Rattus norvegicus: one gene and its partners. The protein of the gene in region 1 interacts with the protein of each later gene in a biochemical or structural test. Links are inferred from orthologs where the notes say so. Each region holds a gene or a part of one and is shown in the gene's direction. Other genes may lie near its edges. The genes, in order: Btrc, Cdc25b and Cdc25a.

Region 1 (3,648 bases):
CACACACACACACACACACTTTCTCTCTCCGCAGAGCATATGTGGAGGTCAGAGGACACCTTCTAGGAGTTGGCTCACTCCTTCCACCGTGTGGACTCCAAGGATTAATCTCTGGTCATCAGGCTTAGTGTTGGGGCTTTCTTTCCCTGCTAGCTCATTTCTCCAGTCCTTTTCTAGTATTTTTTCTGCTTTTCTCAGCAGCACTGTTTATATTATAGTGATATGTACCTCTTCAGGCAGAGTATATGTTCCTGACAGCATTCTGCTGGGTTTGTTCATTGTTGTAGTCCTGGCACCTAGAACAGTGTTGAATACATTGTAGATACTCAATAAATATCTATTAAATGACTCAGTTACTAAAAAGTATAGCCTTTAATTTTTTGATAACCAGGAAGGTGGAATTTTTTTTGAAAGAAAAGGTTAACTTGAGCTTATAAGTTATTAGACTTTTTTTTTAAATTTTTATTTATTTATTTAATGTGTATGAGTATACTGTTGCTGTCTTCAGACACACCAGAAGAGGGCATCATATCCCATTACAGATGGTTGTGAGCCACCATGTGGTTGTTGGGAATTGAACCCAGTACCTGTGAAAGAGCAGCCAGTGCTCTTAACCACTGATCCATCTCTCCAGCCTGAGTTATTAGACTTTTGTGAGGTCTGTAAATATTCATTGGTCTTTCTTTGTGTATAAAACTTATTTGACTTAAAAAAAAAAGTTAGTGTGAACAACTAATTATCTACCTGTCCAATAACTGCTACATACGATAAAGAACAAATTAAACTTTTTGCTTGCTAATAATGATTAAATGCATCTGGCTCTCAGTTTTTAATCTGTGTATCCCCGTAGATTAAACTTGTAGAAATGGATGCTTGGTCTTCCCACGGTATACCTGATTGACCTCCACTTTGGTATTTGTAAGGCTTTCCACATGATCATGGTTCAAAATACTCAATTGCAATAAATCCAACAAGAATAATTCAGTTGCAAAGATACACGTTACATACCAGACAAGGAGATTTAGACTCTTTCCCTCATTTTCAATGCTTGCTGTTAAATGATTCTTTCAATCCCCTCCCTCCAACAGACAAAACTTGCCAATGGCACCTCCAGCATGATTGTGCCCAAGCAGCGGAAACTCTCAGCAAGCTATGAGAAGGAAAAGGAGCTGTGTGTCAAGTACTTTGAGCAGTGGTCAGAGTCTGATCAAGTGGAATTTGTAGAACACCTTATATCTCAAATGTGTCATTACCAGCATGGGCACATCAACTCCTATCTAAAGCCTATGCTGCAGAGGGATTTCATAACTGCACTGCCAGGTATGTGCACATCCTTGTAAAGTCTGAGTTCATTCGCCATAGCAGTAATGGAGCTGGATCTTCAACCTTATTCTCCCCAGCCCTGCTTCTCCATAACCTAGATTCACAATGCAGCCAAGACCTGCCTCAAATTCAGCAGTCCTGTCTTAGCACTGACATGCTGGGATATCAAGCATGGTGGCACACGCCTTTAATCTCAACATTTGGGAGGTAGAGGCAGGTAGATCTTTGTGAGTTCCAGGCCAGCCTGGTCTACAAAGTGAATCCAGGACAGCCATGACTCTGTTACACAGAGAAACCCTTTGGGGGTAGGGGTGGGGCAAGAAAGAAAAAAAGAAATCAATTGCTGAGACTACAAGTGTAACACTCCTAGCTACATTTCTCTTTTTAAAATTTTTGTTTGGAGGCTGGAGAGATGGCTCAGTGGTTAAGAGCACTGGTTGCTCTTCTCAAGGACCTGAGTTCAATTCCCAGCACCCACATAGTAACTCACAGCTATCGGTAAGTCCAGCTTCAGAGGATCCAGCAACCTTATTATACAAACATATGTGCAAGCAAAACACCAATGCACATGAAATAAATTTAGAAATTCTTGTTTGCTTTGATAGTTACAGACCAAGTCATTAATTATACCTTCATCAAAATAAAAGAAAAGTCAAACTGCATAATTAAATTCCGTTTTACTTTGTCTCCTGACCCTCTGCTCAGCCTTTTTTGTTTAACCTATATGCAGTTCCAAGTCTAGTTTTGTGTTTTCCTTAACTGTTACCAGATTTGAAGCATGACTTATATGCTTTATTTTCAGTTCTTTTCATGTACTTGAATTTGGATGTGAATTTTAGCAACAAAAAAAAACCACACACACACACACACACACACACACACACACACACACACACACACACACAAAATGAGTGTTTATTTTGTTGTTGGAGTTGTTTAAGAGACAGTCTCTCTACCTAGCTCAAGCTGGCTCAAAAACCAACGTCCTCATGCATTAGCTTCTACCACATCCATTAAAAAAATGCTATTGTAGGAATTAATTTTTAAAAAGCATTTTTTAATATTTTAGAAGAAAGGTCACAATCTTCAAGAAGTGAACCCCGAATTCTGTGCAAACTAGATAAATACTCCGTCACTAAGTAAGCGTCTCCAGAGTGTCCCCTCCCTTCTTTAACAGTGATCCAGAACCCTGCCAGGCATGGAAATAGGAGGTTTACATGGGCTACACTTTCCTTAGGGAATAGTTAGTCATCGTCGACACATCAGAATACAGCTATGTATAAATACATATACATGTGCATATGGATGGTGGCTCAGCCAGTAATAGTCAGTGTGGAAGCTAAGTTCCTGAGTTTGATCCCCAGTCTCCAGAAGAGAGCTGAAAGAGGGGTACGTTTGTAGCCCCAGCCCTAGGGAGGCAGACGTAGGCAGACCCATGGGGCTCACTGACCTCCATTCACACATGTGAATACACACACACACACACACACACACACACACACACACACACACACACAGAATATAGAATACAGTTGCCCAGAACTCCACCACACAGTTCTTTGTTTTTCTTATAAAGTTCCGATCAGTGTGTTTATTTCCCTATAGATCTGGAGCCTGTTTTTTAAAAACTTTTCTTAATATGTTAAAGCCTATTTTCCTAAGTGTGGGTTATTTTAAATGATTTAGTCCAATAGTAGGTTGTATAGTGTGAATACATTCTTTACCCTTTGTTAATTTTTCTCTGTATAAATTATACCATGGTAGACATTCTTATGCATTAATTTATAGACAGTCTCAGAAGAAAAACACCCAAAGTAGAATTGTTGTATTAAAGACTATGAAGAGTTTCGGTGTGCTGTGATTTTGTTTTGTTTGTGTTTATTTTGGTTTCATGGTTTTTTTGTTTTTTTTTTTATGTTTCTGGGTATTTTGGTTTGGTATTGGGAATTGAACCCAGGGCGTCACACAAGCATGGTGCCGCTAACCCCCACCTGCTGCCCTAGAGCAGGAACCTTTTAGAGAGTTTCTTCTCCTTTTGAGATAAGCTCCTACTTTGTGACTTAAACCGACCTCAGATGTCAGCGTTCCCCCTGCCCCACCCCTCCTGTGATTGCAGCTGGGCACCCCACCAGCAACCTCACTTCTAAGGCTCTGGTCCATGCTGACAGCCTCTCCTCCAGCACACTGCACTAGCAGGAGCTGCCTTAGAACTGTGTGGTGCTGCCTCTCTCATTCCTTGGCAGCAATTTCTTAAAGCTTTGTTTTTCTGAACCTAAAATAAATTACCTTTTAAAATTAAATGTTTATTTGTATATTATGAGTAAC
Region 2 (3,648 bases), on another chromosome or scaffold:
CACAATAGAGCCTTGTAGAGCACACCTGTTCCCATCCAGCTGTGGAGTAGCTGTCAGTCATTAGGAGGAACAGCTGGGCATTGCCAGTCACAGCTTTTGGTTTAGGGCGGGGGTTACTATTTCCCCCTGATGTCTTTGATCAGACTGTGCTGGTCTCAAGGTTTATTCACAAACAGGAAATCGAGAGTTGGGTGGGGATGGGAGGAGTGTACGTTGTTTTTTAGCGACAACACAGATAGATCCCTCACCCCTGAGGCCCAGCTACAAATGATGCCAGGTTGATTGCACACAGGCCTCTCTGAGGGTCACTTGGACACTAAGTGCCTCTCCAGTTAGTCTGCACTTACTTTTGACTATTTACAGCTTCTCAGAAAGAAGCTGGGGTGTACGTGTGTGTGTGTGTGTGTGTGTGTGTGTGTGTGTGTGTGTGTGTGTGTTAAGCTCCACATGACAGGTGCTCCAGCAACATTGGAAGGCAGGGCCTGTATGTAGAAGTTGACGCTTCAGCCTCAAATGGAGCATCTGTTGGAATTCCTTGCTGGCTGGCCTCTTCTAAGACAGAAGGAGGGGGTGGAACAGAGGTTGGGTCTTAGAAAATTCCATAGGAGGGAGGAGAGAATGTAACCCTGTATACTTGTCACTAAAGGGTCTGCTGGGCTGATCCAGAAAAATCACCAAAGCAGCCCCTGTCCAGGGAGCCAGGCCAGTGGCTAGCAGAAAGGGAAACCCAGCATTGCTGGCATCCACCCCCAGGGTCACCTATATTACAGGGTACCTTCAGCCTGTTGTCTGGGATGGATCAATGCCTTTCATGGTGGCCATATGGCCCCAGTAATGTAATTTGCATACAGGTGGAAGGCCTGTGCTTGTGTGTGCAGGCTGGCGAGACTGTTGCCTTGGTGATGTCTTAATGACCCTGTGACCTGCCCCAGCTGTCTCCATCACTGCCTTTCTCTGGGCCTGCTTTTCATTCACAGCAGCCTTTACAATTCCAGGCTGCCTCAAACCCTTCCTCCTTGGTCCCTGGTCCCACCAACAGTGCACTATTTTCTACTCTCCCCTCCTAGAGCCTGACCACAGGCCCTCATCCTTGCCCTTGTTGCTGGCCCTATGGGCATGAGCCAGGCTTGGGCCTGAGGCTTGGGGTAGATGTTGGGCTACTGGGAAAATGGGTCATTTCTGCTCTCTCCTAGGTTTGAACAGGCCATTCAGGCAGCCAGTCGGGTCATTCAAAAGTGAGTCTTCCCTTCCTTCCTTACCCACCTCCTGCTGTCTTGTGTGGTGTGGATGTCATGGGTGCAAGGGAATCCTGCCTGCTTTGAGTCACTGGCCTCTGATTTCACAGCTCTGAACTGTTTTTTTTTTGTTTTTGTTTTTGTTTTGTTTTGTTTTGTTTTGCAGTGAGCAATTTACCATAAAACGCTTCCGGTCTTTGCCAGTGAGTATCTTCTGAGGCCTGACAGGGAGCTTATTGGGGGTACCTGAGAGATGTGTTTGAACTAGCCAGGCATTCCCGGACTGGTTGGGGGAGATGGGATTTCATCTGGGGGGGGGGGGGGCTGAAGAGTCGGACGGAGCAAGGTAGCAGAAGGTATCCTGGGTGATACCTGGAATGCAGCCTTTAGTAATCACTGCCCTGTCTGGTTCCCTAGGTGAGGCTGCTGGGACATAGTCCTGTGCTACAGAACATCACCAACTCCCAAGCACTGGACAGCTGGGAGAAAGATGAAGCAGGCTACAGAGCTGCCAGTAGTCCTGGGGAGGACAAAGAGAACGTGCGCTTCCAGAGACCGGGATGGAGGATCTCCAGGGAGAGAAGGGTACACTGGGTTTGTCCTGATAGCTCCTCTCCAATCTTGCCCACAGGATGGATATATCTTCAAGATGCCACAGAAGCTCCCTCATTCCAGCTCTGCCCGAGCTTTGGCAGAGTGGGCCAGCCGCAGAGAGGCCTTTACCCAGAGGCCCAGCTCAGCCCCTGACTTGATGGTACATAGGAGAATAGGGCCAAGGAACAGCTCTGGGGAAAGGTGGTGGCTGCAGACATGGCTCAGTGGTTAAAGGCACTGGTTGCTCTTCCAGAGGTTCAATTCCCAGCTCCCAACCCACCTCATGACCCTCTATAATTCCAGTCCCGGATGACCTAATACCCACTTCTGGCTTCTGTGGTCACTGGTTGCAAATGGCACACAGACATATGTGCAGGCAGAATACCCATACACATAAAATAAAGTTAAAAATTAAAAAAATACCTGGGTGTGGTTGTGTATGCCTTTAATCCCTTCACTTGGGAGGCAGAAACAAGGGAATTTCTGAGTTCAAGGCTAGCTTGGTCTACAGAGTGAGTTCTAGGACAGCCAGGGCTACACAGAGAAACCCTGTCTTGAAAAGAGTCAAATAAGTAAATATAAAAGCTATAAAATATTTTATTTATATATAAATATGTTTGTATATTTATAATATAAAAAATAAAAATATAAATAAATAAAAGCTAAAACACTTTTTAAAGAGACAGTAGGAGAAGACTCCTTCCCCACAAACCGCCTGGGTACTGCAGACTTTTCCTCAGAAGGAGTGACAGGTCCCCACCTGAGTGTTCTGTGCTTGCCATTTGGACAGTGTCTTACCACTGACGGGAAGATGGACGTGGAGGAGGCGAGCCCTGTGGCACAGTCTTCCTCCTTGACTCCTGTCGAAAGGGCTTGTGAAGAAGATGACGGATTTGTGGACATCCTAGAGAGTGATTTAAAGGTAAACAGCCTTGGTCCACAAGGCCCCTACTTGCTCCCTGCTTGGATAGTCCAGACTATCAGCCAGACTCCAACCTCACCCAATGTCAGAAGAATTTGAGGGAACTGATATTGGCCAATCAGAAGACCAGGTGGGCTGGTGCTGCAGAGGAATGGAGGCTAGGCATGATGAAGGTACTTCTGGGTCAGGGCAAGCCCAGCGGCAGCAGCAGCTGGTGTTTGTACAGCTCTTTTTGTGTGTGTGTTGGGGGTGGGGTGGGGCAGTGTTGCTGCCATAGTCAGCAGGGCTGGGGACAACCAGTGTTTCTTTGGGAGTAAGCAAGAGAAGACTCTCCACCATTTACTCCATGCTTGAGTTTGTGATTCTGTCCTTACTGCTTTGACCTCAGGATGATGATATGGTCCCCGCAGGCATGGAGAACCTCATTAGTGCTCCACTGGTCAAAAAGCTGGATAAGGAAGAGGAACAGGTGATGCCCAGTAGTGCCCCCTCGGAGCTAAGGGGACATGGGGTGGAGGGACCAGGCTCTGACTCCTGCCATGTTACCTTTGCCAGGATCTCATCATGTTCAGCAAGTGCCAGCGGCTTTTCCGCTCTCCATCCATGCCGTGCAGTGTGATCCGGCCCATCCTCAAGAGGCTAGAGCGGCCCCACGACAGGGACGTGCCTGTCCTGAGCAAGCGCAGGAAGAGTGGGACACCCCTGGAAGAGCAGCAGCTTGAAGAACCCGTTAGTTCCGCCCTCTGGGGGGCTGGGCTGCTCACCTGGGGTGTGTTTGGGCTGCAGATGCTCTGGGTGTCCTCTCCTGGGCAAAGGTGCAGCAGTGGGTAGTGTGCAGCTGGTTGTTTAGGTGGCAGGGGAAGGAGGTCTCAACCAAACAGCACTGAGAGGCAGTCT
Region 3 (3,748 bases), on another chromosome or scaffold:
GACTGTTTGGGAGAGATTTTAGAGTAGGCACGGCCTTGTTGGAACAGGTGTGTTGATGGGAGTGGGTTTTGAATTCTTAAAAACCCAAACCAGGCCCAGTTCTCTTCTCTTCTCTCCTCTCCTCTCCTCTCCTCTCCTCTCCTCTCCTCTCCTCTCCTCTCCTCTCCCCTCCCCTCCCCTCCCCTCCCCTCCCCTCCCCTCCCCTCCCCTCCCCTCCCCTCCCCTCCCCTCCCCTCTCCTCTCTCTTCTGTCTGCCTGCTATCTGTGGATCATGATGATGTAAAGCTCTCAACTACTACTCCTGTTTCAGCCTGGGCTATAGAAGAAATTCTATTTCAAAAATTAATTTAATTTAATCAGAGCCTGGAACAGGAATGGTGGCACATGCCTTTAATTTCAGCACTCAAGAGACAGGGGCAGATGGATCTCTGAGTTCAAAGCTAGGGCTATACAGAGAAACCCTGTCTCAAAAAAGAAAAAAGAAAGAAAGAAATTCAAAATCAGAGCCTGAAGGACTGTGAAGGAAAAGAGGGATCCACGGTACTGTACTACACAGAGGAAGAACCAAAGCCAAGTCCAGATGGCCTTCCCTAGTCTCTATGTCTCCTAAAAGTGCACACAGCACTAGGCTCAGCAGCTCAGACTAGGTGTGTGACCGGCCTAGCACACTCTATGGGAACTACACTACCCAGCATGCAACTGGAAAGGAGCGAGATAGGGGGGGCCTTTTGGTCCGGACTAGCGCCCTCACAGGGAGTTTCATTGACTTCTCTGCTCCTTTCTCATTTCTGCCACCTCCCAACTCTTCAGGCCTCGCCCCCATGGAGAGAGGGAGTGACCACGAGGAGGCCCGCGAGATGCTTCCTCCTTTCCTTCTCATTGGTCCAGCTCAGCTGTCATTCGGGAGCGAGGAGAAGTATGCTTCCTGATTGGTGAGTTCCGTTTGGCGCCAACTAGGGAAGGGGCGGGGCGGCGGCTATCCTGAGTGTGCAGCAATTAACGCTAAGGCCACTTTGGTGGTGAGGGAAGTGGAGGTTCCTTTCCTCTGTGCCGGGTACCGAACGAAGAGGAAGGAAAAAGTGAGGAGAGTTAGTCCGGTCGGTGGCCTCAAGACTCTGGCTCCGCGGAGTTTGTTTGGATTTAATCTTGAGGTTGCAGGCGCCCGCCCGCCTACGGGCCTCGCGGGACACAGAGAGAGAAGCACCGGTGCTTGTGCCTGGCGCCTGCCGAGTCCCCGACGCTCGCCCGTCCGCGCCGCTGCCCGTGGCGGCCGCGTCTCTGAACCGCGGGGTCGTGTTTGTGTTTGACCCGCGGGCGCTGGCGGCGTGGCACGCGGCTGAAGCCGGTGCCAGCGGGGCGGGGCCCGGCGCAGCGGAGGCGGAGGAAGACGGAGCGGGAGTCCGGGCAGGCCCGGCGGCGCCATGGAACTGGGCCCGGAGCCCCCCCACCGCCGCCGCCTGCTCTTCACTTGCAGCCCCACTCCTGCGCCGCAGCCCACGGGGAAGGTGCTGTTTGGCGCGTCAGCTGCTGGCGGACTGTCCCCTGTCACCAACCTGACGGTCACCATGGACCAGCTGGAAGGGCTGGGCAGGTGAGAGACTGGCGAGCGATGCCCCAGGCCGCTGGCCTCTGGTCGGCCCTCGGGATGACCTAGCAGGAAGCAGAGTCTGTCCCCCTGGTTCTGGTGCCCGGATCCGGGATGGCCTGGCCAGGGCCCGCCATGTGCACCCTCCCCCCGGGCGGAATGTTGGGCGGGAGAGGCCGTTCGGATAGTCCAGGGCTATCCTCAGCCCGAGCCAGACCGGAGGTCAGGGAAGCCTGCTGGGCATCCTGTCTTGTTCACCCCTTTCAGATTTCAATCTACTCTGTCTCTATTCCAGAAAAGTCTTTGGAATCTACCCTTACGGGGGGAAAATGGCCTTCACTACCACTCTTTGCTGAACCACCCGCGTCGGATCTTAGTTTCCTGTAAGCTTTGTTCCTTCTCAACAAAGGGACATGGCATTTTCTTTTCTTGCATTTGTGCAAAATCTATGCAGCCGCTTGGCCCGCACGTTTCTTATATCTACCCATCTACCTTTTTACAGCTATCACTTTTTAAACTAACTTTTCTACATTGGAAATCTTGGTGGACTTAGTAGCTCTACACCACTACCACTAACAAAAATGCTTTTAGAGAAGTTGCTTTTCCTTCGGTGTTGGGCATCTGGCCTCCTAAACGTGCCTTTCGACTTTTCCAAACCCTGAAAAGCTGGGACTCCTGGCCTAGTCACCTTTGCCCTTATTCCTAGCATGGTACCTCAGACTGAGGCTCTCATTTAAGGAAACAACCCAGCCTTTGCCACAGGCATGTCTTACAATGTGGTCCAAGGCCAAGCCACTCACTCCTTTCTTTGTTTAAATGCCAACTGGGGTATTCTGGGTGGCCAAGTGTGAGTGTGGGGTGTCCTTGGCTTGGTCTCTCAAGATGGTTTGTGGCAGCCTGGCTACTTCATAACCCATCTCCTGTATGTGTCCTTTTAGTCAAATACTAAAAATAGCTCATGTGGAGGTATTTCTCTTGGTTTCAGTGACTATGAGAAACCAATGGACGTGAGAAATAGCAGCAGTCTACAGAGAATGGGCTCCTCTGAATCGACTGATTCAGGTATTGTCATTACTTATGTGTATGTATGTGCTCATGTGTGTAGGTAGGTGTTTAGATCGAAAGGCATCAGAGCTCTGAGGCTGGAGTTACAGGACATTGTGAGCTGCCTGATATGGTTGCTGGGAACTGAATTTGTCCCCTCTATAGGAGCACCAAGTGCTATTAACCACTGAGCCCCTTATTTTTAAAAGTTTAATTAAATCTATTTATTTTGAGACAGGGCCTCACCATGTAGATCACATTGGCCTCTTGCCTCTTGAGTGCTGTGGTTAAAGGCATGGGCCACCATCCCCCTGACCAATCCAGGCATTTGTTCAGCCTTCACCATTCATTCATCTGGAGTCAGCCATTCTGGAAGTGTCTTGCCTAGGAATTTAATTGGTAACAGTATACATAGAAATTATGATGTGGAGTGACAAACACCCTTCCTTCAGAGGGAAGGAGGGAGCTCCTGAGACAGTTTATGGAGAGAAAAGAGTGCGGAGTCTTCCATGTCTTTAAGTGTGTGCTTTTCTATGTGTGGATGTTGGCTTGCATGCTTCTCCTGTGTGCACACGGTGTGTACTTTCCTTGAAGGCCAGGAGAGGGTGTCATTTGCTGGAGCCGAGTTAACGGGCATTAGCCTGTGTGGTTGCTGGGAATTGAACTCAGGTCCTCTATGAGAGAGCAGTTGTGCTCTTCTGAACCATCTTTCCAAGACTGTTTTTTTTTAAGATACAATTTCACAGTATACACCAGATGGGCCTCTTGGAACTGAACTTAGCTGGTTGTATTTTTCATACCCCTAAGTGAAGTATATTTGGGGGGGGGGAGCTCCACAAAAAGATTTAGGGGTCAATACTATCTGAAAAGTCAATCTTGATACTAGCTGGCCTCTTCAATCTTGTTTCTCTGATGGTATTTGCAAACAGAAGAGGGTCCATGGACATACTAAGAAAATGTTGCTTAACACCAGAATGTATATTATTTTCTAAGAATTTTGTTTTTATTTCTCAAAGGTTTCTGTCTAGATTCTCCTGGGCCCTTGGACAGTAAAGAAAAGTATGTATTCACTACTTTAAATTTTTCTACTTAGTAGGAAAGTTTTCCTTACGTCAGCCT

The links.
Region 2: the proteins of Btrc (region 1) and Cdc25b form a complex in vitro, tested with the Homo sapiens proteins (2 studies listed by BioGRID, with this or other methods). The link is inferred for Rattus norvegicus from reciprocal best matches to the Homo sapiens genes BTRC and CDC25B.
Region 3: of the proteins of Btrc (region 1) and Cdc25a, one has a biochemical effect on the other in vitro, tested with the Homo sapiens proteins (3 studies listed by BioGRID and IntAct, with this or other methods). The link is inferred for Rattus norvegicus from reciprocal best matches to the Homo sapiens genes BTRC and CDC25A.

The regions. Positions count from the first base shown.
Region 1 is NC_086019.1:254,295,339-254,298,986, forward strand, and holds part of Btrc (F-box/WD repeat-containing protein 1A), read left to right. Parts: intron 1-1,088; coding exon 1,089-1,320; intron 1,321-3,648. UniProt on the Homo sapiens protein: Substrate recognition component of a SCF (SKP1-CUL1-F-box protein) E3 ubiquitin-protein ligase complex which mediates the ubiquitination and subsequent proteasomal degradation of target proteins. Recognizes and binds to phosphorylated target proteins.
Region 2 is NC_086021.1:138,863,042-138,866,689, forward strand, and holds part of Cdc25b (M-phase inducer phosphatase 2), read left to right. Parts: intron 1-1,193; coding exon 1,194-1,235; intron 1,236-1,401; coding exon 1,402-1,438; intron 1,439-1,652; coding exon 1,653-1,775; coding exon of another isoform or gene 1,776-1,820; intron 1,821-1,866; coding exon 1,867-1,989; intron 1,990-2,619; coding exon 2,620-2,751; intron 2,752-3,139; coding exon 3,140-3,220; intron 3,221-3,306; coding exon 3,307-3,480; intron 3,481-3,648. UniProt on the Homo sapiens protein: Tyrosine protein phosphatase which functions as a dosage-dependent inducer of mitotic progression. Directly dephosphorylates CDK1 and stimulates its kinase activity.
Region 3 is NC_086026.1:118,741,870-118,745,617, forward strand, and holds the start of Cdc25a (M-phase inducer phosphatase 1), read left to right. Parts: upstream 1-1,178; 5' UTR 1,179-1,421; coding exon 1,422-1,591; intron 1,592-1,880; exon of another isoform or gene 1,881-1,968; intron 1,969-2,570; coding exon 2,571-2,647; intron 2,648-3,645; coding exon 3,646-3,688; intron 3,689-3,748. UniProt on the Homo sapiens protein: Tyrosine protein phosphatase which functions as a dosage-dependent inducer of mitotic progression. Directly dephosphorylates CDK1 and stimulates its kinase activity. Also dephosphorylates CDK2 in complex with cyclin-E, in vitro.